3 linked regions of the Stegostoma tigrinum genome follow. The protein of the gene in region 2 purifies or fractionates together with the protein of the main gene of each other region. This does not show direct contact. Links are inferred from orthologs where the notes say so. Each region holds a gene or a part of one and is shown on either strand. Other genes may lie near its edges. The genes, in order: syntaxin-7-like, stx8 and vesicle-associated membrane protein 3-like.

The links.
Region 1: the proteins of stx8 (region 2) and syntaxin-7-like purify together in Homo sapiens (affinity purification with mass spectrometry; 5 studies listed by BioGRID and IntAct, counting the BioPlex papers as one, with this or other methods). This does not show direct contact. The link is inferred for Stegostoma tigrinum from reciprocal best matches to the Homo sapiens genes STX8 and STX7.
Region 3: the proteins of stx8 (region 2) and vesicle-associated membrane protein 3-like purify together in Homo sapiens (co-immunoprecipitation; 3 studies listed by BioGRID and IntAct, with this or other methods). This does not show direct contact. The link is inferred for Stegostoma tigrinum from reciprocal best matches to the Homo sapiens genes STX8 and VAMP3.

The regions. Positions count from the first base shown.
Region 1 is NC_081357.1:71,866,763-71,877,355, forward strand, and holds the start of syntaxin-7-like, read right to left. Parts: upstream 5,365-10,593; 5' UTR 5,262-5,364; intron 5,085-5,261; exon of another isoform or gene 5,001-5,084; intron 4,979-5,000; exon of another isoform or gene 4,877-4,978; intron 4,736-4,876; exon of another isoform or gene 4,613-4,735; intron 4,370-4,612; exon of another isoform or gene 4,348-4,369; intron 1-4,347. UniProt on the Homo sapiens protein: May be involved in protein trafficking from the plasma membrane to the early endosome (EE) as well as in homotypic fusion of endocytic organelles. Mediates the endocytic trafficking from early endosomes to late endosomes and lysosomes.
Region 2 is NC_081375.1:31,213,971-31,224,563, reverse strand, and holds the start of stx8 (syntaxin-8), read right to left. Parts: upstream 6,899-10,593; 5' UTR 6,810-6,898; coding exon 6,793-6,809; intron 5,833-6,792; coding exon 5,733-5,832; intron 1-5,732. UniProt on the Homo sapiens protein: Vesicle trafficking protein that functions in the early secretory pathway, possibly by mediating retrograde transport from cis-Golgi membranes to the ER.
Region 3 is NC_081381.1:24,203,433-24,214,025, forward strand, and holds the start of vesicle-associated membrane protein 3-like, read right to left. Parts: upstream 6,636-10,593; 5' UTR 6,529-6,635; coding exon 6,527-6,528; intron 1-6,526. UniProt on the Homo sapiens protein: SNARE involved in vesicular transport from the late endosomes to the trans-Golgi network.

The sequences.
Region 1 (10,593 bases), on a different chromosome or scaffold from region 2:
AGGGACCCGGATTCGATTCCAACCTCGGGCGACTGTCTGTGTGGAGTTTGCACATTCTCCCCGTGTCTGCATGGGTTTCCTCCGGGTGCTCCAGTTTCCTCCCACAGTCCAAAGATGTGCAGGCAAGGTGGACTGGCCATGCTAAATTGCCCGTAGTGTTCAGGAGTATGTGGGTTATAGGGGGATGGGTCTGGGTGGGATGCTTCAAGGGGCGGTATGGACTTGTTGGGCTGAAGGGCCTGTTTCCACACTGTCGGGAATCTAATCTAATCTAAACAAACAACTGCAGCCTCAAGTTAAAACTTCACACCTCAAAGACACCCTAAGGCTTATGAATTATATAGAACATAGGAAGGAGGTGGTGATCGAGGCCACTCAACTCCTCTTTCATGTCAGCTCCTTGACATTTCAAAAATCCATCTACCTACCCTTTAAACATATTCAGTGATTTAATCTCTACAGTTCTCCAGGGTAGAGAATTACAGATGATAATGGGAACTGCAGATGCTGGAGAATCCGAGATAACAAAGTGTGGAGCTGGATGAACTGCCTCCAATAAAATTAAATTCCTTTCTTAAGGAAGAGACCAGAATTATCCACAATACTCCAAGTGCAGCCTCACCAACACTCTGTTACAGTGGAAGAAGGCTTCCCTAGTTTTAAACGTCACACCCTAGCAATAATTCCAGCCAAAATTCCATTTGTATTCTTAAATATGTAATACATCTGAAATGCTAACATTTAGTATTTCAGGGACAAGAATACTCAAATCCCTTTTGCTGCACTATTTTGGAGTCTGTCTCCATTTAAACAATTGCCTACCTCTTGATTCTTCCTACCAAGTGCACAACCTCAATATCCTACATTAAGCTCCATTTGCCAACTTATTTTGCCTATTCATTCAACCCATCTATATCCCATTGCAGATTTCGTGTCCAAATCACAACATGACCTCAACACCTATTTTTATATCAGCAAAACTGCATTTGTATAATCTTCTCCCACCTCCAAATCATTAATATAGAATGTAAACAAATTGAGGCCGTAGAGCTGATGCTTGTGACACTCCACTAGTTATGCCCTGCCGATCTGGAAAAAACCCATTAATCTTGACTTTGTCTTCCCTGTGTTCACTAATCTTCAGTCTGCACCAATACAGTACCAATACTGTGAGCTCCTGTCTTGTGCAATTACCTTTTATGCGGCTCTTATAACCTGCCATTTGAAGTTACTTTAAATTATAGCAAAGTGTTTATTTTAAGAGTAGAAAATGTATACAAATGAATTTCAAATATGTAATATGCTGCCAAATGAAGATGATGTTATACCTTAAAGAGTAGTGGTAATTGAACTTTAATTAATTGATTATGTAAAGAACAGAGGCACAATTGAAGAATATTAAAGAAATATGCCAAGGATATCAACTTCTGTCAGTCAGCAGGCTGATCATAAAGGAATTGTACTAGAAATGCGTAATTTGCAAGTGCTCACGACAACAATAATTTTTTATAAACTAAACCAAATTTAATACAGAATACCCCCAGGATGAAATAAAAATTACCAACCACAATTCAAAATGAACAAAGTTATAACTTCTAGCATTCAAGTTTCAAATTTCAAGCATCTTCTACTAAAAATCAGTGGCTCATATATAGATCTTGCAAATACTATATAAACAGAAATAAACCTAAAAAAATGGTTTAATATACCGACTAGGCAACAATGTTGTAACCTAATCAAGAATTTCAGTACATAACACCTGGCCTTCACTGATAATTTAGATCAATGTTTACACACTATGCAGGCAACCTTACAACTCAATTCTGACAGCTCATTAGAAATACAAGTTCAAAAGTACTAGTTACTATTCAGAATGTAATAAAACAGAATCACAAGATAATACTCTCCCACCTCTTTCCCCTCTCTCCTCCTCTGCTCCTTCACTGTCAATCCCCCAAGAGAGACTCATGCATTTTCATAATATTTCTTCCTCTCCCCAAAGATTTGATTTCGTATAGTACTTTTCACAACTTAAGACAGTTGAATGAAGTTTCCAGTAAATTAAGTACTTTCAAAGCCACTGTTTTGTTGAGGGGAAAACAATTTGTATACAAAAGACCTACAAACGGTCATATTATAAAAAGCATTCAGTCCGGTTTTAGAACGTCGATTCACAAGGATGCGTTAGTCTGGGTATTAGGGATAACTCCACTGTTCTTCAGAATAGTGTCGCAGGATATGTTTTAGGTCAAAGCAACATGATAGACATGGGAGATAATGGGAACTGCAGATGCTGGAGAATTCCAAGATAATAAAATGTGAGGCTGGATGAACACAGCAGGCCAAGCAGCATCTCAGGAGCACAAAAGCTGACGTTTCGGGCCCAGACCCTTCATCAGAGAGGGGGATGGGGAGAGGGAACTGGAATAAATAGGGAGAGAGGGGGAGGCGGACCGAAGATGGAGAGTAAAGAAGATAGGTGGAGAGAGTATAGGTGGGGAGGTAGGGAGGGGATAGGTCAGTCCAGGGAAGACGGACAGGTCAAGGAGGTGGGATGAGGTTAGTAGGTAGATGGGGGTGCGGCTTGGGGTGGGAGGAAGGGATGGGTGAGAGGAAGAACCGGTTAGGGAGGCAGAGACAGGTTGGACTGGTTTTGGGATGCAGTGGGCAGGGGGGGGGGGGGGGGAAAGAGAGCTGGGCTGGTTGTGTGGTGCAGTGGGGGGTGGGGACGAACTGGGCTGGTTTAGGGATGCAGTAGGGGAAGGGGAGATTTTGAAACTGGTGAAGTCCACATTGATACCATTAGGCTGCAGGGTTCCCAGGCGGAATATGAGTTGCTGTTCCTGCAACCTTCGGGTGGCATCATTGTGGCAGTGCAGGAGGCCCATGATGGATATGTCATCGAGAGAATGGGAGGGGGAGTGGAAATGGTTTGCGACTGGGAGGTGCAGTTGTTTGTTGCGAACTGAGAGGAGGTGTTCTGCAAAGCGGTCTCCAAGCCTCTGCTTGGTTTCCCCAATGTAGAGGAGGCCACACCGGGTACAGTGGATGCAGTATACCACATTGGCAGATGTGCAGGTGAACCTCTGCTTAATGTGGAATGTCACAAGGGAGAACACGCATCATCCTCCGAAACTTCCGCCATTTACAATCCGACCCCACCACCCAAGACATTTTTCCATCCCCACCCCTGTCTGCTTTCCGGAGAGACCACTCTCTCCGTGACTCCCTTGTTCGCTCCACACTGCCCTCCAACCCCACCACACCCGGCACCTTCCCCTGCAACCGCAGGAAATGCTACACTTGCCCCCACACCTATCCCAGGCCCCAAGATGACATTCCACATTAAGCAGAGGTTCACCTGCACATCTGCCAATTGGTATACTGCATCCACTGTACCCGGTGTGGCTTCCTCTACATTTGGGAAACCAAGCAGAGGCTTGGGGACCGCTTTGCAGAACACCTCCGCTCAGTTCGCAACAAAAACTGCACCTCCCAGTCGCAAACCATTTCCACTTCCCCTCCCATTCTCTAGATGACATGTCCGTCATGGGCCTCCTGCACTGCCACAATGATGCCACCCGAAGGTTGCAGGAACAGCAACTCATATTCCGCCTGGGAACCCTGCAGCCTAATGGTATCAATGTGGACTTCACCAGTTTCAAAATCTCCCCTTCCCCTACTGCATCCCTAAACCAGCCCAGTTCGTCCCCTCCCCCCACTGCACCACACAACCAGCCCAGCTCTTCCCCCCCACCCACTGCATCCCAAAACCAGTCCAACCTGTCTCTGCCTCCCTAACCGGTTCTTCCTCTCACCCATCCCTTCCTCCCACCCCAAGCCGCACCCCCATCTACCTACTAACCTCATCCCACCTCCTTGACCTGTCCCTCTTCCCTGGACTGACCTGTCCCTCTTCCCTGGACTGACCTATCCCCTCCCTACCTCCCCACCTATACTCTCTCCACCTATCTTCTTTACTCTCCATCTTCGGTCCGCCTCCCCCTCTCTCCCTATTTATTCCAGTTCCCTCTCCCCATCCCCCTCTCTGATGAAGGGTCTAGGCCCGAAACGTCAGCTTTTGTGCTCCTGAGATGCTGCTTGGCCTGCTGTGTTCATCCAGCCTCACATTTTATTATCTTATGATAGACATGGCCTCAGTTTACACCTCCGACAGTACAGCGTCTCCTCGGTGTTGCTATCGAGTTTTAGCCTTGTGTTTTGTGTTAAAATTCTGGAATGGCATTTAAGCCCAAATCTTTCTGACTCAGACATCTGAAAAATACCAAATGCGCCCCACAGCTAACATAAGATTGCAAATTTCTCCCATGTACACCAGTCACTTACGATTCTTTGCTAAATAACCCACCATCACCGGCAAGTTCGACGGTAACTGTCAACAAGGGAGGGTTAAGAGAGCCCGAGCTGTTCTACATTATGTGTTGAAATAAACAGAAACGGAAATCTCAGCCTTGTGGTCACACAGAAACCCAGGCGCCCCGTCAGAGTTGCTGAACACGGTGAGAAATCTGAATAACTGGGAAACCTTTTTACTGCCACCCCGGTTAGGGTCAGAGAAATCACCGCTGGGAGAGGGGAGGGGGAGGCAAACCTGGGACTGTCTGGTCATTCTTGTCGGTTGGGATCAATTCCTCCACACAGACGCACTCATAAGAACGTCCTTCAAGAGAGTTCCCTGGCTCAATGCTCCCTTCCTCACAAACAGCTCTATACTAGTTACAGGGCGAGGAAAGGGAGCGGGGAGGTGGGGGTGGTGGGACTGGGGAGAGAAGGGGCTGATCTCCCCGGATCAAGGGAAAGGGGGGAACCGGCAGAAACACTGGACTGGACAGCGCTGGGTTGGGCTCTTACCCACCGGGGTTGGCTGCTTCCGAGGCCCGGCCGCATTTCCAGGCGGATCCCTCCCCCTCAAGGCTCAGAGCCTAGCCTGCCTACCAGCACCAACAAAGACCGGGAGATCAGTGTACAGCGGATCCTACCTGTTCGGGACGGTCACTCAACCCCACCTACCCTGACGGTACCACCTCGGCCTCTGACCCTACGCCGGCCCCGCCCCCTTGATCCGCTGACCTTACCCACCCCGCACCGCACCTGGCTGCCTGGCGCGTGCGTAGATTGTCGCTGGCGGCCGAAGAAGGGCCTTCCCTGTCGATATATTGTATCAGATCTGCCCTGTCCTTGAAGGCAAAGGGGAAGCAGTATGTTTCTGGGGTAAAATTTAAGTTAAAAAAGTGACTTGCGTTGGCGTAGGGCTTTTCATGACTTCCAAACTTGACAGCTGATGAAGGGCTTCTGAAACGCAGTCAACACTCGCAATACCGGAAGTGCAGCAGCCACCTTTGTACAAACTCTACAAACACCAACTTTCTAATGACCACCCAGTCTGATGTCGTGATGTTCATTGCGAAATAAATATTGGCCAAGGAAAAAGAGATAACCTCCGCGGACTTTGTCAAAATAGTGCTGTGAGGTCTTTTACATGTACCAGAGGCAGATGGACTCTCAGGCATCTCAACCAACAAGAGTGCTAGAAGTGCAAGATTTTATCAGACCTTCAAGAAGATCCAGCCTTGGTGTATCTACTAAGTTCCTGGAGTGCGATATATCACAGAATACTGAGCTGCTTTAGTGCAGAAGGAAGCCATTCAAGTGATTGGGTTTGCACAGGCCCTCTGGGCTGTTTGACTTAATGCCAATCTCCTACCCTTTCCTCATAAGTCTGCACATTGTTCCCACTTAAATAATCACTTAATACCCTCATGAATGCCTCCATTGAACGTGCTTCCATCACACTTCCAGGTAGTACATTCTAGACGTGAACCACTTGCTCTGTGAAAATGTTTCCTTTCACCTCATGTTTGCCCCTTTGCCAAAACAGTTAAAATGTCTGCCCTTTTCATCCTCTTTTACAAGGTGAAACAGCTTCTCCCTAACTACTCTGTTGAGAGCTTTCCTGATCTTGAAAACTTCTTTCAGATCTCTGCTGAGTGTCTTCCCTCCAAGGAAAATAGTCCAAACTTTTCAAATCTATCACCATTGCTGAGCATTCTCATCCTCATAACCATTCTTGTAAACCTTTTCTGTACTCTTTCTGATATATTCGCGTGCATCCTGATGTATGGCACCCAGACTGTGCATTATTCCCTAGCTGAGTTCCAACTAATGTCTTAAATGAGTTCAGCATAACATCCTTGCTCTTGTGGTTTGTGCACCTATTAATAAAGCCAGGGATACTATATGCTGTATTAACCTCACTCCTCACCTGCTTTCTTGCTTTTAATGAATTATGCACCTATATACCCAGGTCTCTCTGCTCCTGCACTCCCTTTAGAATAGTATCTGTTTTTTACTCTGTCTGTCCCCTTTATATCTGCATGTTCACCTCACAATTCTGCAAATTGAACTTCAACTGCCATTGATACAACCACTACACCAACTTGTCAAAATCCTTTGAAGTTTTATACTGCCATCCACACAGTTTACAATACTTCAAAATTTTTTTATAATTTGCAAAATTTAAAATTATCCCCTGTCAAAAGATTTCACATATATTGAGAAAATGTAGGGGAGGTGATGGCCTAGTGGTATTATTACTGGACTGTTAATCCAGAGACACAGATAATGTTCTGGAGACCTGGGTTCGAACCCCTCCACGGCAGATGATGGGATTTGAATTCAACAAATATCTGGAATTAAGAATTTCATGATGACAGTGAATCCATTGTCGATTGTCAGGAAAAATTCATCTGGCTCACTAATCTCCTTTAGGGAAGGAAACTGCCATCCTTACCTGGTCTGACTTGCATGTGACTGTAGACCCACAGCAATGTGATTGACTCTTAACTGCCCTCTGGGTAATTAGGGATGGGCAATAAATGCTGCCTGGCCAGTGACACCCTCATCCCATCAATGAATAAAGGAGAAAAAGCAATACCAATCCCTGGGAAACACCACAACACTAAGTTTCCTTCAGCTCGAAATATAACCATAGGCCATTACTTTCTGATTCCTGTCACTCTCACAGTTGTGTATACATTATACTCACTGGTACTTTTATCCCACATGTGGCATTGTATTAAATGTCCATTGAAAGACCATGTATACCACACAACTACCTTACCCTCATCACTTCTGTCTTATGTATTCAAAAAAATCCAGTGAGTTGGTTTGATATAATTTTCCCTTAAGAAATCCATGTTAGCGCTCTTTAATTAACCTGGAATTGTCCATGTGACAATTAATATGACACCAAAAATATTATTTTAGAAATTTCCACATCACCAAAATAAAGCTGATTTATAATTGCTAGACATTTCCTTATATCCTTTTTTGAAAAGGGCAAAATGCAATTTTCCAGCCTTCAGGCAACACCCCTGTGTCTAAGGAAAATTCGTCAGTTAGTTTTGAAATGAACTGGAGGCCAGATGCCACTTAAAGAATCAAATAATCAAACACAATCTATATGAAAATTTATTGACGACATGCATTACAATAAAATTAAACATGCTAGCATAAAATTTCAGATTTTTTTTAACCACATGACTATTATCAACATGTACTTGATATTTAACACATACAATGGATATTCTACAACATTTTATTACTGTTTTAACACAGGATCAGTGTATTGACTGTGTGATATTCTTGCTAAATGCTTCCAGGCTCTGGATTGTGCAACCTGGTATTGTTAATCCAATCTGCCATGTGATAGCCAGGTATGTAATTCATGTGACTTAATATTTCTTTGTGATGTGGTTGAGTCAATATCCAATATAACACGAAACTGAAGTGCAATCTCATTTAACTTTAAGAAAAACATTGTACCGGGGTTTGCTGATGTAGAACTAGAGAGTTAAAGTTAAGGATCAAAAGTCCACCCACTTTATTTTCTATAATTGATCTAAATGAAATCAGAAACACATCTACGTAAAATTTACAACTATTTTCTATCAATCAAAATAACTCCAGTGTTTTATGTTCTGTAAAACTTTGCCATTCATTTTGCCATAACAAGAAACATGTTACATAGTACTGCTAAATTTAATGTGATTAATATTTTTGATATGCATTATTTTTTAGCTATTATAATTTTCAATGTGCCTTAAACACCAGCTTAGCACATTCTGAAGTATCCTAGTAAATTCTCTTTGCTGGATTGGCACAAGTAAATGCTATAAGTTTTACATGAAGCTTGGTCCTTTATTTAATCCTTCTTGTGATGATAAGATTTTAGTTTAAATGCACAAATGAAACAACTTTGTCTTGTTGTAAAATAACTCTATTTCCAGATTTTTGAAATGAATTTGATTCTCAGATAGCCTTGATTAGATTTGTACTCATTTTTATTGATTGATAATGTAGACCGATGGATCACAAGTTCAACAGCAACAATTTGTATTTATGGAATACTATTAGCATAGTAAAAGGTTTTAATGTAACTCTTAATGGCATTACCAAACAAAATTTGATAATAAACCAAGCGAAAATAATTCAGGACAGGTGTCTAAAAGCTTAGATAAAGATGCAGGGATAGAATTTTCACTTTGGGTAGAATTGCCAGTTTTGGCACTCATTGCACTCAAAAGTAAACCTAATTTGAAATGTGAAATAACAAAGTGTAGAGCTGGGTGAACACAGCAGGCCAAGCAGCATCATAGAAGCAGGAAAGCTGACGTTTCGGGCCTAGACCCTTCTTCAAAAAGGCCTGAAACATCAGCTTTCCTGCTCCCATGATGCTGCTTGGCCTGCTGTGTACACCCAGGTCGAGACCTTGTTATCTCGAATTCTCCAGCATGTTCAGTTCCTACTATCTCTGAACTAATTTGAAATGTATTTGTTTTGCCAATGACAGAACTATGGCAAGAAATCTGGGCAATTCAAATGAGAAGTGATAATGGGAACTGCAGATGCTGGAGAATCCAAGATAATAAAATGTGAGGCTGGATGAACACAGCAGACCCAGCAGCATCTCAGGAGCACAAAAGCTGACGTTTTGGGCCTAGGCCCTTCATCAGAGATTCAAATGAGAAGCCCAGTGAGGCCTTTATTGACATCGGGAGCAGCTGATTGCTTTTTCCAATAAAATTCCAGTTGTTGAAATGGGATTCTTGCTGAGTATTGGCAACATTCATGTATATGGAGATTATTGTTTGTTTTCAGCCTTGTAATGAAGATCTTGCTACATTAATATGCAACTTCCCATCCTACCTCCTGCTACAAAGAAACTCAATGCTGAGAATTTTCCACATGGAAGTCTGAGCAGGTGCTTGGCTTCTCCAGCTCACCACTTCCACTTCCAGATCACCATCTTGGACACCCAACACCAAACCTCAGGGCACGGTCCGTGGGCAGCTGATGTCCACGGATCTTGTCGTTGGACACTTGTCAGACTCTTTGAATCATCATGGCACATCTCCAATCTAGTTGAGCCATGCTGCTTTGTGGTCATGCGCACCTCAGGGCACACCAACAATTATTGTAATACTGCTGCGAGGACACTGTGCACACATGGACAGACATGCAGCTCACAGATTGAATCAGGCTGCATTTTAGAATTAGTAGGAACTGCAGATGCTGGAGAATCCGAGATAACAAGGTTGGAGCTGGATGAACACAGCAGCCCAAGCAGCATCATAGCAGCAGGAAAGCTGATGGATCTAGGCCCGAAACATCAGCTTTCCTGCTCCTATGAAGCTGATTGGCCTCTGTGTTCATCCAGTTCCACACCTTGTTATTCTTGCATTTTAGAATTGTTCACTTGCTATCATAGTACTCACTTGAGCCTACTTGGATGCTCACAGCATTTAAGCCTTGTCTTGCCCTTTACACTTTGCCACTCAGTCAGAGCTCTGGGTCTGTCAAAACCCCATCTTACTTTGCAATTTAGCTCTTTCACGAAGCCACAACAGATACACAACATACACAAAAGATGAAAAGAAGAAGAAGATGAGCAAACCAAGTTATCTAGATCTAGGACACACTTTGAAAGATCTTAAAATACATAGCAAAACAAAGTGTCATCTCACTTCCCCACATTATCTGTCATGAAAATTCAAATCTGCAGAAATTATTCATCTCTATCAGATCATTAGCTTAAAATTAGCTGATTTTCCCCGGTTCTTTCATATGAGCTATGAAGTTCTTGTGTATGCTCATCCACAAAGCCGAGAGTTAGACTTCCTCAGTTTTTGGTAACCTGCAGATTTCTACCCAAACGCTGCTATTCTGGAAGGGAAACAAAATAAACTTGTTACTGCTGTAACTATGCTTTCCCCAGATTGCTTTATATTTCTTTCCGGGATATGAAGTTTCTTTTGACACCAATAAGGTCTCCTCTGACCCGCCCAAAAACTTGTAATCTATGGTTTTCTGAGGAATAATCAATCCTTGATTACGTTGAACCGAAAACAAGCAAAGACTCTCAACGAAACAGTCTTCTATTTTCACTCCAAGGTCTCCCTGCCCTCTGACCTAAAATGAATTAGGTCACTGTTTCAGAATGACTATTTGACCAAGGTGTTGGATTTTTTAAATCTGCATAAAACTAATCAACCCTATGTGTTGCTATTCTAT
Region 2 (10,593 bases):
CGATTGGAGTACATGAATTAATAACTCTTGCAACAATTGAAGGACTTTGGTAAAACTATATCTGGAGGAACATGTGCAGTTTTCATCTTCATTTCAAAAGGAAGGATTAGAAGTGGTGCAGTAAAAGTTTACTCAATTAGCCCCAGGGATAAGAGGGTTGTTATTTGATGAAAAGCTGAATAAATTGAGCATATTCTGACAATAGTTTAGAAGAATGAGACTTTATCGCATTGAAACAAAGTGTGTCACTGCACTAACCTGCTTTGATTTCCTGTCCCTTTCAGTGATAATGACACTATATTTTGAAAATGAAGTGACATCAATGACAAGAATTCGGCTTGATCAGACAGCCACTAACGTTTGTGAATGCTGATGACAACAGCACTTCTATCTGGAAGAATTTTTTTTATAAATCAATCCCTTGTCACTCTTTTTGAAGTTTATCTAATGCAATTTGACTTGACAGGCGTAAATTGAAACTGTATCAACAGAGTTAACCTATTTCTCAGCATATGGTTGCTATGGAAATGCGCATTTCGCCCCAAAAACTAGCCGTATATGTATATGTATTAAATATCCACTTAGTTCTAGACCTGGATCAATGCTCATTTCATTTGGGGATTATCTTACATTAAAATAAAAACATTCACGTATAAACAATATATAACTAGATAATAAAATCCTTCAACAAATAACATTCTGATCAGTTGGTCTACTTTGCGCAAAACATGTCACATGTCTGCTGAAGCACTCAGTTGCTACATTCATGAAAATCTAGTGCAATTAAGTTTGAAATTATTGTAACATTTGGCAGCACTGCTACTAAGTCTAATAAAAGACGAATGTGTCTGGAAAGCAACCAGCTGCATTTTCTACTAGATGGATTCAGTGGTCTTTTTTTAAAGACATAAAATTTTCCAGGTACAGAGTAAGATGTCAATTGTGTAGTGCTGATGGAACTGAAAATCTGTCCATCACTTTTCTTTGTCTTCTAAATTATAGATAAACAATTGAATGTACATTGAAAAACAAAACAAACAGTCTATATACATGATTTGTGGGTGAAAATATAATTCTTGTGTTCTCCGCCAAGGATTACATTTCTGCAGTCAACTAAAACCAGGCTGCGTTTTCCAAGTACAAATCTTCAAATCACAAAAATTTCATACCTGGGAACATACAATTAGGGTTTCTTTGTTTATAATGGTAACTGTCCATTTTTTTTTAAAAAATCAAACAACTTATAGAAAGAGTACATTATGTATGCAAGTAAATTGTTCGCACCGACTAGAAACTTTCCTGTTGCTTTCAGGTCAGACTTTCAATAATACAAAGTATTGAAGAAACTTGGAAACGAGTGAACAGCATTTGTCATTAATAACCTTAAATCAGCAGTTAATTTCATACTGGAATCTTTTTATTGGTCTCTGACTCAGCATAGTTCATGCTGCATTTCAAAGAAGCCCAGGAATTAATCCATCAATGAACTATATTCCAAACATCAACTTAATGAAATAACAATTACAGTGCACACAGAGCAAGTAACAATAAATATCTCACCATTCATTTTCCAGAAGCATTTGCGGCTGAAATCCCAGAAAATGACAATTGTAATTAAACCCCTTTCCAAAGTCTTTGCCCAGAATTGGGGAAAGGAGAGCACATTTCTCAGAAAATAAAACTTTCTTCACTTTCATACCATCACAGTGTTCAGCTATACAAGGAACATTCATATCAAAATAAAACACTTCCAGATGAATTGGTTATTACTGAACACTGCTTTGTTTCACAGTGAAATTAATGATAATCACAGAGAATATGAAACTTGCATACAAACACCTGTCATTAATTTGCAGTGGTAGGACATCTAATGACATCTGCTATTTGTTAAACTTGTCTTTACATATTTAAGGTTGTTTTGCATGGTAGTTTACTTTAAGTGTGAGCTAACTAAGCCATAGCAACAGAAACTGCGCATCTGGGAAAACAGACAGACAACTGTACAACTACTTATGCAGGCTGACTGCAAAATTGTGAAATTTGTCATCTTCAGTTCCTCACCTTGAGGCTTGTGGCTCCTCAGATGACTCACTGACCAATCCTGGAGCCACAGGCCTTTGAGTAGAGAGGAAAACTGTTCTCCTGAGGTGGAGAATGTGGAAAGATGAGGGAGGCGGAAGGGCCAAAGCAGGAAGGAGCAGGGGGCCAAGATTCTGCTCTCACTCCTGCTTTCAATGCTTCTGCACAGTATTGCCATCCGTGTTGCAGTTTGTTGGACAAGACGTCACCGCATGGTGGAGTTCCTAGAAAGGTTTAAAAGACTTCAAACGTTCTGTGACAAATTTAGTGCTTATCCACTGTCCAGCAATTTTTCATTTGTTCAATGTTTTTCAATGTTGAGGTGGAACGCAGAATGCCATTTTACTGAAGTGAATGGCAGGGCAGAACATTTTGAACAGCAACTTGTTAAAAATGGTGTTTAACCATGCCCAAAATTGTTGTACCATAGGTACCTAAACACAGCTCAGCACTATTAACTTCACTGTTGATCTGAAAGAAACATTGTGGTCATTAAATACTGAAAATTTGAAACTAGGAAAAAGTGATTTTGCCCACAAAAATCTATCATTCCTAAGGCCCATGTATGAAACTTTTGCAGCATTGAACAAAACTGACAGATGCCCAATTGATAATTCAAAGCAATTTAATCTATCTTTACAATACAGCAGTATGGATCTAAAAATAAATCAAAGGAAATGAAAAAGTTCAGCTGCATCAAAAGCAGGTCAGTTTACCATTCCTATTGTTTGAAGGAAAAAGATGCTGCTCTTAATCAAATCCATTGTTGTGTTGTAAAAATGTTTCATTTCGTGATTCATATGTTTTAGGAGTATAACTATGAATTTAGGGTTGCAAAATGTTTAACAAACATAATAGAAATGGGAAATCCTGGATTTGAGAAATTTGTAAATAGCTGTAAGGCAATGATAATTCCAAGGATAGAGTCATAAAGTTGTACGGCATAGAAACAGACATTCAGTCCAACTCGTCCATGCAAACCAGATATCCTAAACAAATGAGATAACAGGAACTGCAGATGCTGGAGAATCCGAGATAACAAAGTGTGGAGCTGGATGAACATAGCAGGTCAAGCAGCATCTCAGGAGCACAAAACCTGACGTTTCGGGCCTAGACCCTTCATGAGAGAGGGGGATGGGGAGAGGGTTCTGGAATAAATAGGGAGACAAGGGGAGGTGGACCGAAGATGGAGAGAAAAGAAGATAGGTGGAGAGGAGAGTATAGGTGGGGATGTAGGGAGGGGATAGGTCAGTCCAAGGAAGATGGACAGGTCAAGGAGGCGGGATGAGGTTAGTAGATAGGAAATGGAGGTATGGCTTGAGGTGGGAGGATAGGTGAGAGGAAGAACAGGTTAGGGAGGCGGGGACAAGCTGGGCTGGTTTTGGGATGCGGTGGGGGAAGGGGAGATTTTGAAGCTTGTAAAGTCCACATTGATACCATTGGGTTGCAGGGTTCCCAAGCGGAATATGAGTTGCTGTTCCTGCAACCTTCGGGTGGCATCATTGTGGCACTGCAGGAGGCCCATGATGGACATTTTGTCTCAGGAATGGGAGGGGGGAGTTAAAATGGTTCGCGACTGCGAGGTGCAGTTGGTTATTGCGAACCGAGCGGAGGTGTTCTGCAAAGCGGTCCCCAAGCCTCTGCTTGGTTTCCTGAATGTAGAGGAAGCCACGCCGGGTACAGTGGATACAATAAACCACATTGGCAGATGTGCAGGTGAACATCTGCTTTATATGGAAAGTCATCTTGGGGCCTGGGATGGGTGTGAGGGAGGAGGTGTGGGGGCAAGTGTAGCACTTCCTGCGGTTGCAGGGGAAGGTGCCGGGTGTGGTGGGGTTGGAGGGCAGTGTGGAGCGAACAAGGGAGTCATGGAGAGAGTGGTCTCTCCGGAAGGCAGACAAGGGTGGGGATGGAAAAATATCTTGGGTGGTGGGATCGGATTGTAGATGGCGGAAGTGTCGGAGGATGATACCTAAATAAATCTAGTCCTATTTACCAGCATTTGGTTGAAATACTGCATCTGCTGCACCCGTTGTGGCTTCCTCTACATTGGGGAAACCAAGCGGAGGCTTGGGGACCGCTTTGCAGAACATCTATGCTCGTTCGCAATAAACAACTGCACCTCCCAGTTGCGAACCATTTTAACTTCCCCTCCCATTCCTTAGACGACATACCCATCCTGGACCTCCTGCAGTACCATACTGGTGCCACCTGCAGGTTGCAGGAACAGCAACTCATATTCCGCTTGGGAACCCTGCAGCCCAATGGTGTCAATGTGGATTTCACCAGCTTCAAAATCTCCCCTCCCCCCACTGCATCCCAAAACAAGCCCAGCTTGTCCCCGCCTCCCTAACCTGTTCTTCCTCTCACCTATCCCCTCCTCCCACCTCAAGCCGCACCTCCATTACCTATCTACTAACCTCATCCCGGCCCCTTGACCTGTCCGCCCTCCCCAGACTAACCTATCCCCTCCCTACCTCCACACCTATACTCTCCTCTCCAACTATCTTCTCCTCTATTCATCTTTGGTCCACCTCCCCCTCTCTCCCTATTTATTTCAGAATCCTCTCCTCATCCCCAACTTCTGATGAAGGGTCCAGGCCCGAAACGTAAGCTTTTGTGACCCTAAGATGCTGCTTGGCCTGCTGTGTTCATCCAGCTCCACACTTTGTTAACTCGGATTCTCCAGCATCTGCAATCCCCATTATCTCTGATCCCTCAAACATCTTCCTATTCAGGCACCCATACAGATGCCTTTTAAATGTTGTGATTGTACCAGCCTCCACCACATCCTCTGGCAGCTTATTCCACACCCACATCACCCTCTGCATGAAAAAGTTGCCCTTGGATCCCTTTTACATCTTCCTGCTCTCACCTTAAACCAAAGCCCTCTAGTTTTGAACTCCCCTACCCTGGGAAAAAGACATTAGCTATTCACCCTATCTCTGCCCCTCTTGATTTTATAAGCCTCTGTAAAGGTCACCCCTCAGCCTCCGATTCGCCAGGGAAAACAGCTCCAGCCTATTCAGCCTTTCGCTATAGCTCAAACTCTCCAATCCCAGCAACATCTTTGTCAATCTTTTCTGAACCTTTTCAAATTTAACAACTTCTTTAGAGTCCACATTTCCTTAAATTGGTTAGAATTAGAGGTGAAACCACTGACTAATAGGCGGTCCTGTGTCGGCTTCAGAATGGAGCCAGTGAAGCTGGTAAATTGCAGTTGATTCCACTGTAGTTATAAATTACTGATGTCCATCCCAGAATCAATGGGATTAGAGTAAATTTGGTAGTTGTTTTTGATTAGTGTGGATGCAGTTGGCCAAAGAGCCCTTTTCTGTGCTGTAGATCTCTATGAAGGATGTTTGAAAGTTAAAATTAATTAGCTTACATCCCTACCAAGGATATCCGAGGGGTGTCAGGTTGTTCGGGCAATATATTGCTAAGTTTTAAGAATAAGAAACACACAAAACAAAAATATTGAGAATAAAAATACATGTATAAATCACATATAAATTTAAAATTAAACCTAGTGTATAGTTTTCTCATTTAAAATTTCATACAAATAATGCCTACTGGGCAGGCGTGATGTTGAGATTTTATAATGTTTCTGTTAAGAGGAACTGTAAAATAATAGTATCCATCACTTAATTTACCTTGGAAGGATTACCTCCTGTTGTCTTCTGTCTATTACGCTCATGAATATTTTCAGCAATTTCCTGTGCTAGATGACAGGAGGAATCATATTTCATTAACCTATAGAACAAGAGAAAGACGATTACAGATATCCAAACGTGAATCAAATTAAAATGCTTAGAACGCAAATTTAAACAGCACTGAAATATATTCTAATAGCATTTTCCTATGACAGTTTTGGTTACCCCCTTGCCTATGTCACAGGATAAGTTTCAAGTCTCTTTCTCACATGTTCAAAGACTTGAACTACTTGGACAGATCCACACAGCATGAAGAAGCTGCTGCAAACTTCAGGATGCTGTCACCGAGCTGACATGTTAAACTCATCCCCCTTCTGTCTATTCTCACGTTTTAAGTGGATATAAAGGTCTCTTGCTTAATTAGACGGGCTCTCAATGACCTTCAAATTCGCATGATCAAACAAGTTCATTTGCGCCTGATGGGATCTTACTGCGTTTAAACCAGCAACGCCAATTCAAATACGATCACAGTGAATAATATACTCTTTAAAGTTACAGACCAAGAAAACACATCTCTGCATCACCAAAATAATATTTGACACGGAGACACATAAGAGAACATTATGGACAGATGACCAGGAGAAGAATCAAAGTGGGAGATTTTAGGCAGCAACTTAAACGAGATATGTGCAATAGAACAGGAAGAGAGATTTAGGAAGGGAATTTCAGAGCTTAGTGGGTACAGAGAGGACAGATGTTACAGGAGCATTTGAAAAGGACGAGAATTTTTTAATCTAGGCGGGGTTTAACCCGGAGTCAATACAGGTATTGAGCCCTGCCCCTTACAAAAGACATCTCACAAACCCGGTGCTGTAAAGATTCCTGATTAAAGGATGTTTTCCTCTCACACACAGCACAGCTCACCCACTTTGAGATTGTGGGGCTTTCCCTCGCACAACAACCGCAATCGGCTGAACCGGAGGCGGCTGATATGAAAAAGCGGGTTCGAAATACCCACCACCACCAACCCCTCCCATTTCCCATTTCCCATTTCCCATACCAGGGCTCCCGGGCCATCTCTATCTCTCTCTCTCTCTCACTCTCTCTGTTGTTGTTGTTGTTGCTCTTTACTTCCTGGTTTCTGTCCGTCTCACATTTCGGCACCAAATGTCACAACCTCCCGGAACTTTGGTTCCGGGCGAGATTTCTCGCCTTTCAACCACCTCCTCTTCCGCAGCCTCCCAAACCCTCACCCCACACCTGGCCCTCCAGTTCTCCCCCGCCTTGTCACCGGCCCCTTCCTCTCTCCCTCTTATCACCTGCCCCTCTAGTTCTCCCCCGCCTTGTCACCTGCCCCTTCCTCTCTCCCTCTTATCACCTGCCCCTCTAGTTCCCCCCCGCCTTGTCACCTGCCCCTTCCCCTCTCCATCTTCTTATCACCTGCCCCTCTAGTTCCCCCCGCCTTGTCACTTGCCCCTTTCCCTCTCTCTTTCCATTACCTGCCCAAGTAAATGACGCCAAATCTGCAACAACCATCCTTGGTCCTGCACAAACTGAGGGGAAATCAGAGTTGAGTCAATGGAACATCATGATTTCCTACTTTGGAAAAGTTATGTGAATAATTTAACTTTTGAAAGTTGCCAATAGCTAAGAGTACCACGTTTCCCTCTCAGCCACACATTCTCCTGCCTTTTAAGAAAATCATTCATGGGATCGTGGGTGTTGGTGGGCAGACCAGCATTTATTACTCATCCCTAATTTCCCAGAGGGCATTTTAGAATCAATGACATTGCAGTTCTGTTCTACATTCCTTCAGCATCATTGGATCAAAACATTGGAATTGCCTTCCAAACAGCACTGTGCTGGGTATCCATACACAACGTAACATGACAGTCCTCTCAAGTGTGCTGCAGTATTCAAGGAGACACCATCAACATCACCTTCTCTGGGGCGATGAGAGGTGGCCAATAAATGCTGGCCTTGTCAATGTCACCAAAATCCCATGAAAAGTTCAGGGGAGAAAATCTGCTAATTTTAAAATCAGTGGAGTGTATAACTACCAGATAATTATTTTAGAAATATACAGATCATTCAAGATATTTTGAATAAAATACACATTAATGAACCAACTGTGCAATATAAAGTATCAGATTTTCAAATTCTCTAAAATTGGAAGGAATAAGAACCAAAAGTTACTTTCACTTTGTTTCATGGTATGGATATAGTGAAGCAAGTTAGTATTAATTGTACATATTTACTTGTTAGATTATAAACAAATGATATTTCAGAAGTTACAGCTGCCAGATTGGCTTCGATATTGGGCTAACAATTAAACAAAGATGTTCATCATTGATTTCACAGAAAGCCTTCTTGAAAGAGCTTGCAATTTCAGTGAACAGAACTTGAGTCTTTTCACAATGCAGTTGACTGCAGCATTTTTGATGGGGATTGAGTGGATCTCCAGGCATTTTGAACAGTCCAAATAGCTAATCACTTGAAATAATTGTCATAACCAGTCCAAACAGGAAATAAAAGTATTAAAATCAAAATAATTTTAATAACTTGCAGAATGACAGAATATTCACTGCAGGAAAGGAGACCATTCAGCCCACCATGTCTGCACAACCCTTTAAATGTCCGTATCATTCAGTGCCATTTACTAGCCCTCCCCCTAGAGCCCTAAATATTGTTTCTCATCAAATAATACTGAATGCATCTAATATAAAACGTTGGCAGTTACTCCTCATTGAGCAACGTAATAACTTTATCAGAGATGATGAGAACTGCAGATGCCGGAGAATCCGAGATTACAAAGTGTGGAGCTGCATGAACACAGCAGGCCAAGCAGCATCTTAGGAGCACAAAAGCTGACATTTCGGGCCCAGACCCTTCATCAGAAAAGGGGGATGGAGAGAGGGTTCTGAAATAATTAGGAAGAAAGGGGGAGGCAGATCAAAGATAGTTGGAAGAGAAGATAGGTGGAGAGGAGACAGACAAGTTAAAGGGGCGGGGGTGGCGCCTGTAGAGGAGAGTATAGGTGAAGAGGTAGGGAGGGGATAGGTCAGTCCGGGGAGGACGGACAGGTCACTGGGGCGGGATGAGGTTGGAAGGTAGGAAATGGAGGTGCGGCTTGAGATGGGAGAAGGGGATAGGTGAGAGGAAGAACAGGTTAGGGAGGCGGGGACAAGCTGGGCTTGTTTTGGGATGCAGTGGGGGGAGGGGAGATTTTGAAGCTTGTGAAATCAACATTGACATTGGGCTGCAGGGTTCCCAAGTGGAATATGAGTTGCTGTTCCTGCAACCTTCGGGTGGCATCATTGTGGCACTGCAGGAGGCCCACAATGAACATGTCGTCTAAGGAATGAGAGGCGGAGTTGCAATATAAGATAACCAACAGGATAGCATGTGTACAGGTAGGTTTCAGCTCGAGGCAGATGGGGAATACAGCAAAAAGAAAGGATAGCTTAAGACATTTTAGGATTTCCAATCTCTCTAACAATGATAAGAAAGTTAGCATTAAGGCACTTTACCTAAATGCTGGTAGTATTCGCAACAAAGTAGATGAATTAACAGCACAAATCCTCTTGACTGATTATGCTGTGGTAGGCACCACAGAGACATGGTTGCAGGGAATTCAGGGCTGGCAGTAAAACATTCAAGGATTTACAACTTATCGAAAAGACAGGGAGGTGGGCAGAGGGGGCGGGGTTGCCTTGTTAATTAAGAATGAAAATAAATCTACAGCACCTAATGACATAGGGTCAGAGGATGTGGAGTCTGTGTGGGTGGAGTTGAGGAACCACAAAGGCAAAAAAACTATAATGGGAGTTATGTACAGACCTCCTAACAGTGATCAGGACCTGGGGCGCAAGACGCACCGGGAAATAGATAGCGCATGTCAGAAAGGCAAGGTCACAGTGATCATGGGGGCTTCAATATGCAGGTGGACTGGGTGAATAATGTTGCCGGTGGATCCAAACAAAGCAAATTCATGGAATGTTTGCAGGATGGCTTTTTGGAACAGCTTGTGATGGAGCTCATAAGGGAGCAGGCTATTCTGGACTCAGTGCCATGTAATGAGCCAGACTTTATAAAAGACCTTAAAGTAAGGGAACACTTAGGAGACAGCGATTATAATATGGTAGAGTTCAGTCTGCAGTTTGAAAGAGAGAAGGCAAAATCGGATATAATGGTGTTACAGTTAAATAAAGGTAATTACAGGGCAGGAGAAAGGAATTGACGAAAATCGACTGGAAGCAGAGCCTAGCGGGGAAGACAGTAGAGCAACAATGGCAGGAGTTTCTGGGTGTAATTGAGGACACAGTACAGAGGTTCATCCCAAAGAAAAGAAAGATTATCGGGGGTGGGAATAGACAGCCATGGCTGACAAAGGACGTCAGGAAATATATCAAAGAAAAAGAGACAGCCTATAAAGTGGCCAAGAGCACTGGGAAATCAGAAGATTGGGAAGGCTACAAAAACAAACAGAGGATAACAGAGAGAGCAATAAGGAAGGAGAAGATCAAATATGAAGGTAGACCAGCCAGTAATATTAGAAATGATAGTAAAAGCTTCTTCCAATACATAAGAAACAAACATGAGGCAAAAGTAGACATTGGGCCACTCCAAAATGATGCTGCAAGGCTAGTGATGCAAGACAAGGGAATAGCTGAAGAACCTAATAAGTACGTTGCGTCAGTCTTCACAGTGGAAGACATGAGTAGTATGCCAACAATTAGGGAGAGTCGGGGGCAGAGTTGAGTATGGTAGGCATTACGAAAGAGTAAGTGCTAGAAAAGCTAAAAGGTCTAAAAATTGATAAATCTCCTGGCCCCGATGGGCTACGTCCTAGAGTTCTGAG
Region 3 (10,593 bases), on a different chromosome or scaffold from region 2:
TTTTCGTCCCAAGAACTTGAAAGTGTGTGTTTTGGCCTCAACCACTTGCGGCAGAGAATTCCACAGGCTCACTCTAGCCAAACAAATTCCATCTCATCTCAGTTCTATATCCTTGGACACTGCCGATTCTGGATTCCCTGCTCATGGGGAACATCATTCCTGCATTTATTCTGACTAGTCCTGTTAGACTATTGCAGATTTCTGAGATTCCCCATTTATTCTAAATTTTGTGTCACAGGGAGACACAGTGTTAAAGGTAGCAACGAGCAGGTTTTCATTGGTCAGACCAGCGAGTATCAGAGTTGACACAGCGTGGCCACTTTTGGAGTACTGTACGCAGTTCTGGTAGTATTATTAAAAATTGGAGAAGGTGCAGAAAAAGATTTGCCTGGGATGTTTCTGGGACTGCAGGGTTTGAGTTATGGAGAGGCTGGGTAAGCTAGGACTTTTCACTGGAATATCAGAGGTTGAGGGGTGGCCTTAGAAGTTCAAAATCATGAAGGATACAGGAAAAAAAATGACCAAAAAAAGAACCTTTCCCCCTGGGTGAGTTCAAAACTAGGGGACTTTTTTTTAAGAGAGGGTGGAAAAAGGTTTAAAAAGCGAGACAAAGGGTATGTTTTTCACAAAGGATGGCTCATGCATGGAATGGGCTGCTAGAGGAAGTGGTGGATGCCAGTACAGTTGCAACATTTGAGACACATTTGGACAGGTATATGAACAAGAGGGGTTTTAGGGGAATATGGGCCAAGACACAAAGGCAAGCAGGACTAGTTGAGTTGGAAAACTTGGTTGACACGGTTAGGTTGGACCAAAAAGGGTCTGTTTGTTTGCTGCATGACTCCAGAGACCATACTGTTATATAGAGTGGTGTCTTAACCTTCCTACTCCAGTAACTATCTATTGACCTCTACCCCCACCTAAAGATTTAACAATGCACTGATCTTCAGTTTAGTCTGTCTTCACTGCATGGTAACAGGCAATCCTTAGAACTAAGACTACTATACGTTATATAGTGAATTGCTTCATAATGAGTTGATCTTAGCCCAAAAGTCACTTACATTTAGCTTCAAACTAAAAAAAAACAAAGACGCCTCCTAGTTTGGAACATAACTTCATTGGTGCAAGGTCAGAGGTCCTGAACAACATTCAAAAATCAACCATATAAAAACACATCATATCCCCTGTGAACACTTCCTGCCATGAACAAAACTAATTAATTGCATGCACTGTTCATCTGGGCAGTAAGGAAGTGTCAGCTTTGCCAATCCTATTAGTGGGGAAAAAACACCAAGGCTTCTTTTAAAAGAGAGTAGAAACTATACTAAAAAAATTCAAATCACTATCATAAAAAAACTGAACTGTCAACAACTGCAAGCAGCAATTACCAAGGAGGTCACTGGGAGAATGGTCATGAGAGAGATATTGATGCAGTCAGATGGAAATGAATCACATAATTATAACTAAAGGATCATGAATTTCCACATCTATATTTGGTGACAATGTTTAGGACCCAGTGTCCCTCATCTCTAACTGTGTGGCATTTTCTACAGGCCGAACGACATTAACACGTGAATATTAACCACAGCCCTACTGCAACAGTTTATTATGTAGTGGTGTCAGTGGTAAGGCATCCATGTGCACAGTGAATTCAATAGGTGCTTTGATATCCAAATTTAAGACTACAAGTTAGAAAGACAGCCACTAATTCCCATTTTTATCATTGTGCAAGGTATTACAGGCAAGACCAGCAATTACAGCTTTTCCTCATTTGCCCATGGCAGTATTCAGTCATCTTGAATTGTCTCCATTTGTATCTGTGAAGGCGTGCCAATAGTCCCACTAGATTTCAGGGTTTTGATCTAATGACAGCAACTGTCAATATGTGTACTGGTCACGATGACAAGCAACTGCAGAAGGAATGACAGACAAAAATATTGAGCGAGTTGTTCCATTCATCTCACAAGCATTGAAGAGTTTCACCTTCAGGATATCTTTATGATATTAAACTGAAATAATTTATGCTTAGGTCTGTCTGGTCAGATGAAATTAACCACAAATAGAAGAATAGAAATAAGATTGACACTCATGATTTACAGCAAGGTCCTGGTATATCTGCAACGGGCCATCATATTTTGCTAAATGGCTACACAAAGTATTTCACTAGGTGAGCACTCCAGAATTGAGAAAATGCAATTTGTTTTATTTATTGAATACAGCTGAAGAGCTGGACAAAAGGTCTCTGCTATTGAAACAGCAGGCACAATGTAAAAACTAGCCACATTTTTAACAGACTGGTTGGCTCAATACCAATTTTTAAACCATTGTTAAAAGCAACGTAAAAAAGTTTTGCTACAAGGGCCCTGTAACAAGACAGGGCAGGGAGGGGTGCTTTCTTCCCAAATTCCATGTACACCATTTGGGATTATAGAATCTTGGGTGAATTTCAAAACAAAAAATGCTTCACAATTTACGATAAAGCAAAAGAGGATCATGTGTTTGTTAGCTCAAATTAGATCAGCATAACTGCAAGACTGAAGGGCAACAAAATGTTGGACACATTCAGTGGGTCAGGCAGCTTTGAAAAGATCAATCCAACTCAAACTTCAACATTCTCAGTCTAGTCACACCCATCAGGTCAAACAGTATTTCCAGCTGTTATCGTTTTCATGTCAGAGCGCGAGTGTTACAGGGCTTTGCTTCCTTATGAAAGCAGCCTGCTGAACAGGAAGAGCCTCAAAGCAATAAAAAAGTCTGGCATCCTGACTTCAAGCAATATCTGTTCACCCATCTCCCTGTTGTCAATAACCTACATTTGAGATTAACAAAGGTATAGTCATGTTCTCATTCTATTTTTGCAAACCCATCCGTGGGATCAGTCTTTCCAACCTTACAATGCTCCCAAGAATGCACCCCTCAAACTGTGTATTCCTGCACATTTTAGTATTACAACATACATACAACATACAACAAGACAGCACAGAACAGGCCCTTCGGCCCTCATTGTTGCGCCGACATCCTTCCTCTCGCAAGGAGACCAAAATCGATGGCAGTATTCCAAAAGCAGCCGAATCAATGTCCTATATGGCTGCTAAGTGATCTCCCAACTCCAATCCTCAATGCACTGACCGATAAAGGCGAGCACACCAAATGTCTCCTTCATATCCTTTCTACCGGTGGCTGTACTTTGATGGAACTACGAAACTGCACTCCAGCGTCTCTTTATTAAGCAACACTCCCCACAACCTTCAGTGTAAACGTGCTGCCCTGATTTGTCTTTCCAAAATGTAGCACCTCACATTTATCTAACCTCAACTCCATCTGCCACTCCTCATGCCTACGTCCAGGCACCAGATTTCACTTATAATTCTCTCCAAGATGCCCAAATTCTCAATGATCTTGGTTTCCTGCCCCAATATCTAAGCAGTAGCTGGTGAGGAGTCACATGACACCAGGTTACAGTCCAACTAGTTTATTTGAAAACACAAGCTTTTGAAGCACTGCCCCTTTGTCAGGTGAATGAGGGGGGAGTGCTTTAAAAGCTTATGACTTCAAATAAACCTGTTGGGTTATAAACCTGGTGTCATGTGACTTCTGACCTTGTCCAACCCAGTTCAACATACTCATCATACAATGAGTATAATATCAAAAATTTGTTTTATTAAAGGATCTGTGAAGTGCTTCTGGAAGTTTTAAAGAAACTACATAGAATCAAGCTGTTGCTGGAGTAAAACTCATTTCGATGACTGTTGGAGAGCTGTCTGGATAGAGTTCTGCCAAGCACCAGTGGTTACAGAGTCATCATTACGCCAGTTTTTTTTTAAATTTCCAGAATTGAGAGGATTGAGGGAGTGCTGATATTGGTGAGTTATTACACTAGGTGTTATTTGAGAGATAAGGAGGGGTTTCAAACAAATTAGATTTTTCCTCTTGAAATTCAGATAGGCTAGTTAAAGTAATGCACAGAAAAACAAAAACACTAATAAATAAGGGTGCAGTCAGTCTGATCTCAGCCAGAACAGCATCATAAGCAGGTGGACTTTAAGACATTTAGGCAAGTCCAGTTACAGGTCGACAGGGTAGGCTCAGGCCATTTTTGCACCACAAACTCCACCATCGCTGTCAATGCTCAAAATATCCACACGGAAGCCAGGGCAATTTGCACTTGTGTTTTGCTCCACAAGTGATAGTTTCCTTCTCTAACTTAGGAACCAAGTTTAATGCATTCAACAGCATTTGGAGATTGGAAACAATGGTTAATTTTTTTTGTTAAAGCTTGTTTGGATTTTGTCCTTTCCAATGGGAAATGTCTGAGAAGGGAACTGCATCCACAAACACCATGTAAAGTAGTAGAGACAAAATCATGAAGATTTAGTTGTTGAAAACAATTTGATCAGATCAGCAAATTTCAACAGTCTTACACCTAAAGTCTATTGATCCTGTCCTTAAAACACATTCAGCGATCCTTGCCTATCTACATTTGGAAATGGAAGCGTTAGCACAGCCAATGCTTATCCTTGATTTCAAATCTTTCCATGACTTCACTACTTCATGGTCTTCACCTCAAGCCTTGCAACTGCCTCCTCACTAGTTTTTAAGTACTTAGAACACTAACTTGCACTTGTGCTAATATCGTGACTTAATGTGAAATTGTCTCAACACTGAAGCACTGAAACATTTCACGGTGTTAAAGGCACTGTACAAATAAGCTGTTATTTTACTTGATCAGAGTACAAACAACAATGCAATAAAACAAACTAGAATACTAGATTGATTACACAGCAAACAACACCCTGTTGTTAACAGATCAGGATGTCTCAACATGGTTGTTGAGAAGTTATTTACACATTTTAAGAGTCACATTCTGGTTTCCTTGAGATAGATGGAATAAGTTGACATGTTCCCAAAGTTACTTCCCATTAAATAGTTTAATCTTTCAGTAAAAGTAATATCAAATGAAGATAACAGTGCTCTATCCCCACCTGATCCTAGTCCTGTTCAAACACCATGACTCATTCCACAACAAAAAATTGAAGACTTAATGCAGTTTGGCACAAGTTCACACATCCAATCAAACAAGCACAGCTGAACTATAATTATTTCAAAGGCTAATTGTCTACAATTCTGGCCCAAACAGGCTGACGCCATAGTGAACTGAGCAGTGTTGACGTAGTTTAGTTGCATCCACACACAGGTCTCTCATGAATTATGCTTTAAAGTGACGCTCAGAGCAAATTGAGAATTTGCACCAATAGGGTGCCAGTTACTTCACAACAACTGGTACAATTTGCCACAAGATCAACCAAGTGGTAAAGGAGTCGAGTTTCCGACAATGGCCTTGTAAACAAACCACACTTTACAACAAATTTTTCAAAAGACAGGAATGGTACGTGAACATTTCCCTAAACCATGTTTAAACAGTTGAATTTACTAACACATTCTATTTAAATAGAAGAGGAAAGGAACATACTCAAATCTAAAAGAGAAAAAACAAATTTACTGCCTTTGGAAAGCAACAATTGGGAACCAAAGCATTGATTTGCGTTAATGGAAAACTATTAACTCACGAAAGTCTGACAGAACAGCATGTATCACACAATGCATTTTTGCCACAGTCCACTCTTGCCCAACTTTGAATCAAGCACAAATACAACAAACATCCCCGGAGTACAGGTAAGATGAAGAAATTCAAATTTCTACTTTCAACATTCCAGATTTTACTTGTTATTATAAGCAGTAGTAGTGAGGTAACAGTCCATTAAAGAGAAAGTCCAGAAGAGGATCCTGGAAGACCTCTGCACTTACTGCATAAAAGTTCCTTCTTTCATTTACCAACTTAGAGACCACAAATCCCAAGTTCCTTAAAAGTGAACAAAAAAACCCCAAGTACCCACCATAGAAAAACATTTCACACAATGCCCCAACCAGCTTCCTTTCATGCTAAAGGCAAAAAAAGTGACAAAATGTTTCTTTCAGCTTCTAAATGCAGCAATATCTGGAAGTACCTTGCCTGAACTGATCAACATTAAACAGTAATTCACAATGCAAAAAAAAAGCACCACTCAACTTCATTATATAAAACAGGATCAAAACTAAGACACTTAAAAATACATGAATGAAACAATAAAATATTACAACCACAGAAACTAAATTTAAATTAATTTCATCATGAATTGTAAAGCCACAAGATACTTCCTTTTTCAAAACAGTTCAGCTTATCTCAACTCAACTTTAGCACTTTGGAATATTAATTCAAGGTGTTACTAGTTTAAAGTTTAGAATTTGTACGGAATTTTAACATTTAAGAAATTAAAAGGCTGAACCCTATAAAACCCCTGGTTTCTACGCTGGGGAATTAAAACACAAGTTTGCGGCCTTCCCTCCAAACACAAGCCTGCGGCTCGCCTGGAAACTCAACGGGGCTCCGGACTGCTCTCAGCGGAGCGCGGTGTGGTGTCGGAGATCGTTCCGAAAGGCCGACTTAAGGAAATAAGAAGAAGCAGAAGCAACGTCGAAACGAACTTACATGTTTCCCAGATAAAAAACAAACCGGTCGAATCAGACCCCGAACTGCTGAACCTTACAAGTTGGGTGTTGTCAGCAGGTTGGAGACGTCACCACTTCCCAACCCCCCCCCTCCCCGGTGTCAGCAGTAATAAATCCGACTCCCAACACCGATCCTTCACTTACCCCTTTCGCTGTTACATGCCAATACACCAATGAGGGCAGCCTTTGGGAAAAGTTTAATTGGATGTTTCTAATTACAAAACATGACAGGGAAGCTCCCCACTTGGCTTTGAGCCACCAATAACTTCCATCCGTCGCAGAAGCAATTAACAAGCAAAAAAAATGGACACTGAGGGGGCCACAAAAAGTTGAAAGGTGAAAAATTCAAATATGATTTTGTTTTTAGTACTCTGCCCAGTTAGCTGCGCTGTATAAACCAGAAAGATGATTTTGGTAAGCATTAAAACTGTATAACTTAAGGGAGGAAGGTTTTCTCATGTCACCATGTTTGCATCATAATAAATGTAGGAGGAAAATACTTTATGTTATGGGGAAAATGATGTAATGAGCCTGATTGGTTCCTGAAAGTAGCACCATATACCAAGTTCGTACTTAATACAACATGTAAATTAGATTGATTTAAATATATACAGTTAGAAAGGGAATTTTAGGAACAAAAACAGAAATTGCTGGAAAATTTCTGCACGTCTGGCAGCATCTGTAGAGAGAAAGCAGAGTGAAAGCAAAGTTAACATTTCAGGTTCAGTAACCCTTCTTTCAGTTCTGACCTTGCTCAGGTTTTCCAGCAACTTCTGTTTTTGTTTCTGATCTCCAGCATCTGTAGTTCTTTTGGTTTTCAACTTTAGTTTAGGTCCTTGACAGCTGAAGGCAAGCCACCAACAGTGGAATGATTAAAACAGAGGGGGTTCCAAGGTGCAAACAGAGAGCAGGAAATTAGTGAGGCCATGGAGTGATTTAAAAAGGTGAGAATTTTGAAACTGATTTATTGCTGAAGTGGGAACACTATAGATCAATAAGCCTAGATATGAATGCAAGTTAGAACATAGTAGGTAGATTTTGGATGACCTCAAGTTTACAGCTGTTATGAGGTCACAAATGCATTGGGATTTAAGGTAAGTTTAAAGATAAAAATGCATTGGTCAGGGTGCAGGGTGGAGATAAATTGTGTTGCAGAGTTGGTAGTACACGGCCTTGATGAAGGTGTATATGTGGGCAAAATATGATCCTGAGGGTATGGAATATGAACAGTCTTGGGCAGCCTCAAATAATTACACTGAGATGGATAAAGTCAGTGGCTAATGAATTAAGTTTGTGACAAGAACCAATGACTCTGTGGAAGGGTCACTGGATCCAAAACGGTAACTCTGTTTTCTCCTCCACGGATGCTGCCAGGCCTGCTGAGCTTTTCCAGAAACTTTGTTTTTGTTCTTGACTTTTTGCAACATTTGCTTGGAGAACATTCCTGTTAATCAAGTACTGTATGTTGTTCAACTTTCTGACTCTTTAAGGTGAAGGTGAGGTAGAGTTGGGTGTTTTCAACATTTGGAAATTGACATTGAAAATTTGACAGGATTCACAAAAAAAAGCAAAGACTGACAAAAAATTCCATGTGGAGGGAAAAGTTAGAGTATGAGAGAAAACTAGCTAGAAAAACAAAATCAGATGACAAGAGTTTCTACAGATATAAAACAGAAAATTTAGTATTAGTCCAACAGAAAATGAGTCTGAGGAATTAAAAATGTAAACTAAGCCAATGTCAGATGAATTGAACAGGTATTTGGTACTACACTTTAGTAAACAGGATATAAGTAACATTCTAGAAATATCTTGAAACCAAAAAAAAGTGAAGGCAGGGAGAAAATCGGGAGAATTACAACTGCCAAGAAGTGACATTCAGCAAATTGTTAGAATTGTAGGCTGACAGGTCCCCAAATCCTGAAGGACTTCAGCCTAAGATTTAAACGGAGTGATTAATGAGATAATTGATGCATTCATTTTCATTTTCTAAAACATCCTGGATTCAGGGAAGATTCAACTGAATCAGAAAATAGCAAGCGTAACTTTATTCAAAATGGGAAGGAGACACAAAGCAGAAAACTCTATGGTCAGTTGACTAAACATTTCTCACAGGGAAGATGCTAAAAGTTGTTGTTAAGCACATTAAAGCTGAGCAGTTAGAAACTTTCAAGGTTATTGAGCAAAGTCAATGTGCTTTTGTGAAAGAAAAATCATGATTAACCCAATGGAATTTTTTGAGGAAGTAAGATGCTGTGGATAAAGGGAAACTGGTGAATGTAATATACTTAGACTTTAGAAGGCATTTGCCAAGATACCATATCAAAGATTATTGCGGAAAGTAAAAGTTTATGGTGTAGGGCTAACATATTGGTATGGACAGAAGATGGACTGACTAACATGAAACAGAGAATAGGAATAATTGGGTCATTTTCTAGTTGGCAAGATGTAATGGTAGTTTGCCACAGGAATCAACACTGGGGCCTCAACCTTTTACAGTTTATTTCAATGACTTGAATGAATGGACTGAAGGTACATTGCTAAATTTTCTGTAGACACAAAGAGTATGTGAAGAGGACCAAAGAAGGCTAAAAGGGATTTGGATAGTTTAAGTGATGGGATAAAGATCTGGGAAAATGTCGAATTGTCCATTTTGACACAATAAGAAAGAAGCTTATTATTTAAATGGAGATTGCAGAGCTCTGAGATGCAGAGGAATCTAAGTGTTCTACTGCATGATTTGTAAAAGGCAAGAATGCAGGTACAGTAAGTAATTAGAAAATCCAATAGAATGCAAAAGGATTGAAGAGAAAAATAGGGAGATTATAAGGGGTGATGGTGAGACCACATCAGGAATATCTGTGTACAGTATTGGTCTTCTTATTTAATGAAGATGTAAATGTGTACAAGGTAATTCAGAGAGGTTTAGAAGACTAATATCTGGAATGCATGGATTGTCTTCTGAGGAAAGTTTGGACTGGCTAGACTTGTATCCCCTGCATGTTGGAAAAGTAAGAATGAGTTGAAACATACAAGATCCCGAAAGGTCTTGACAAAGTGGATTTGGGAAGGATATTTTTGTGGGAGAATCAAAAATGAGGGGATATTGTTAATAAATAAGGGGTCATTTATTTAAGGCAACAATTAGGTTGATTTTTTTTCTTGCAGAGGGTCGTGAATCTTTGGAACTCCCTTCTTCAAAAAGTAATGAAGATAGAGTCTTTGAATATTTTTAAGGCGGAGGTAGAAAGATTCTTGATAAGCAAGAGAGTGAGAGGTTATCGGGGATAGATAGGAACAAGGAGTAAATAGATCAGCAAGCTTATTGATCTTATTGAAATACAGAGCAAGCTTGAGGGGTTCAGTGGCCTACTCCTGCTCCAATCTTGTATGTGTTTTCAGATGCTGTCATTGAGTAGCAGTGCCAAGACTTATGGAGAACTGAATGCTGGAGTTGGTGGGAAAGAAAGTTTTAATCTTTTTGTACAAATATAATTCTGTTTGTAGTTAGCTTTTAACTGAAATCTGCAGTTTAAATTAGAAATTATAAACCTTATAATTTAAGATTTTGAGGGATGACCTGACAGAAGTTTATAAGATCATGAATAGCATGGATTGAGAGGTAAGTATGAGGCATTTTCCCAAGATGAAGAGATCAATTACCAGGGAACACAGGTTCAAGGTGCGAGGGATGGGGGGGAAGTTTTAAAAGAGGATGTGTGAGGCACGTTTTTCACACAAAGGGTGGTGAGTGCCTGGAACGTGCTGCCAGGGGAGGTCGTGGAAGCAGGCACAATAGCAGCATTTGAAAAGCACCTGGTTGAATACATGAATAGGAAGGGAATAGAGGGATACTGATCTTGTAATTGAAGACAGTTTTAGTATGGAAGGGCAAAATATGTTGGCACAGGCTCGGAGGGCCAAAGGACCTGTTCCTGTGCTGTACTGTTCTTTGTTTTTAACCAGGTCTCCTGGAAGTACAACTGAGATGAGTTAAATTCAATCTGCTGAAACTAGTTTCTCTGTAGCTGTATCAACTAGGCCTTTTGT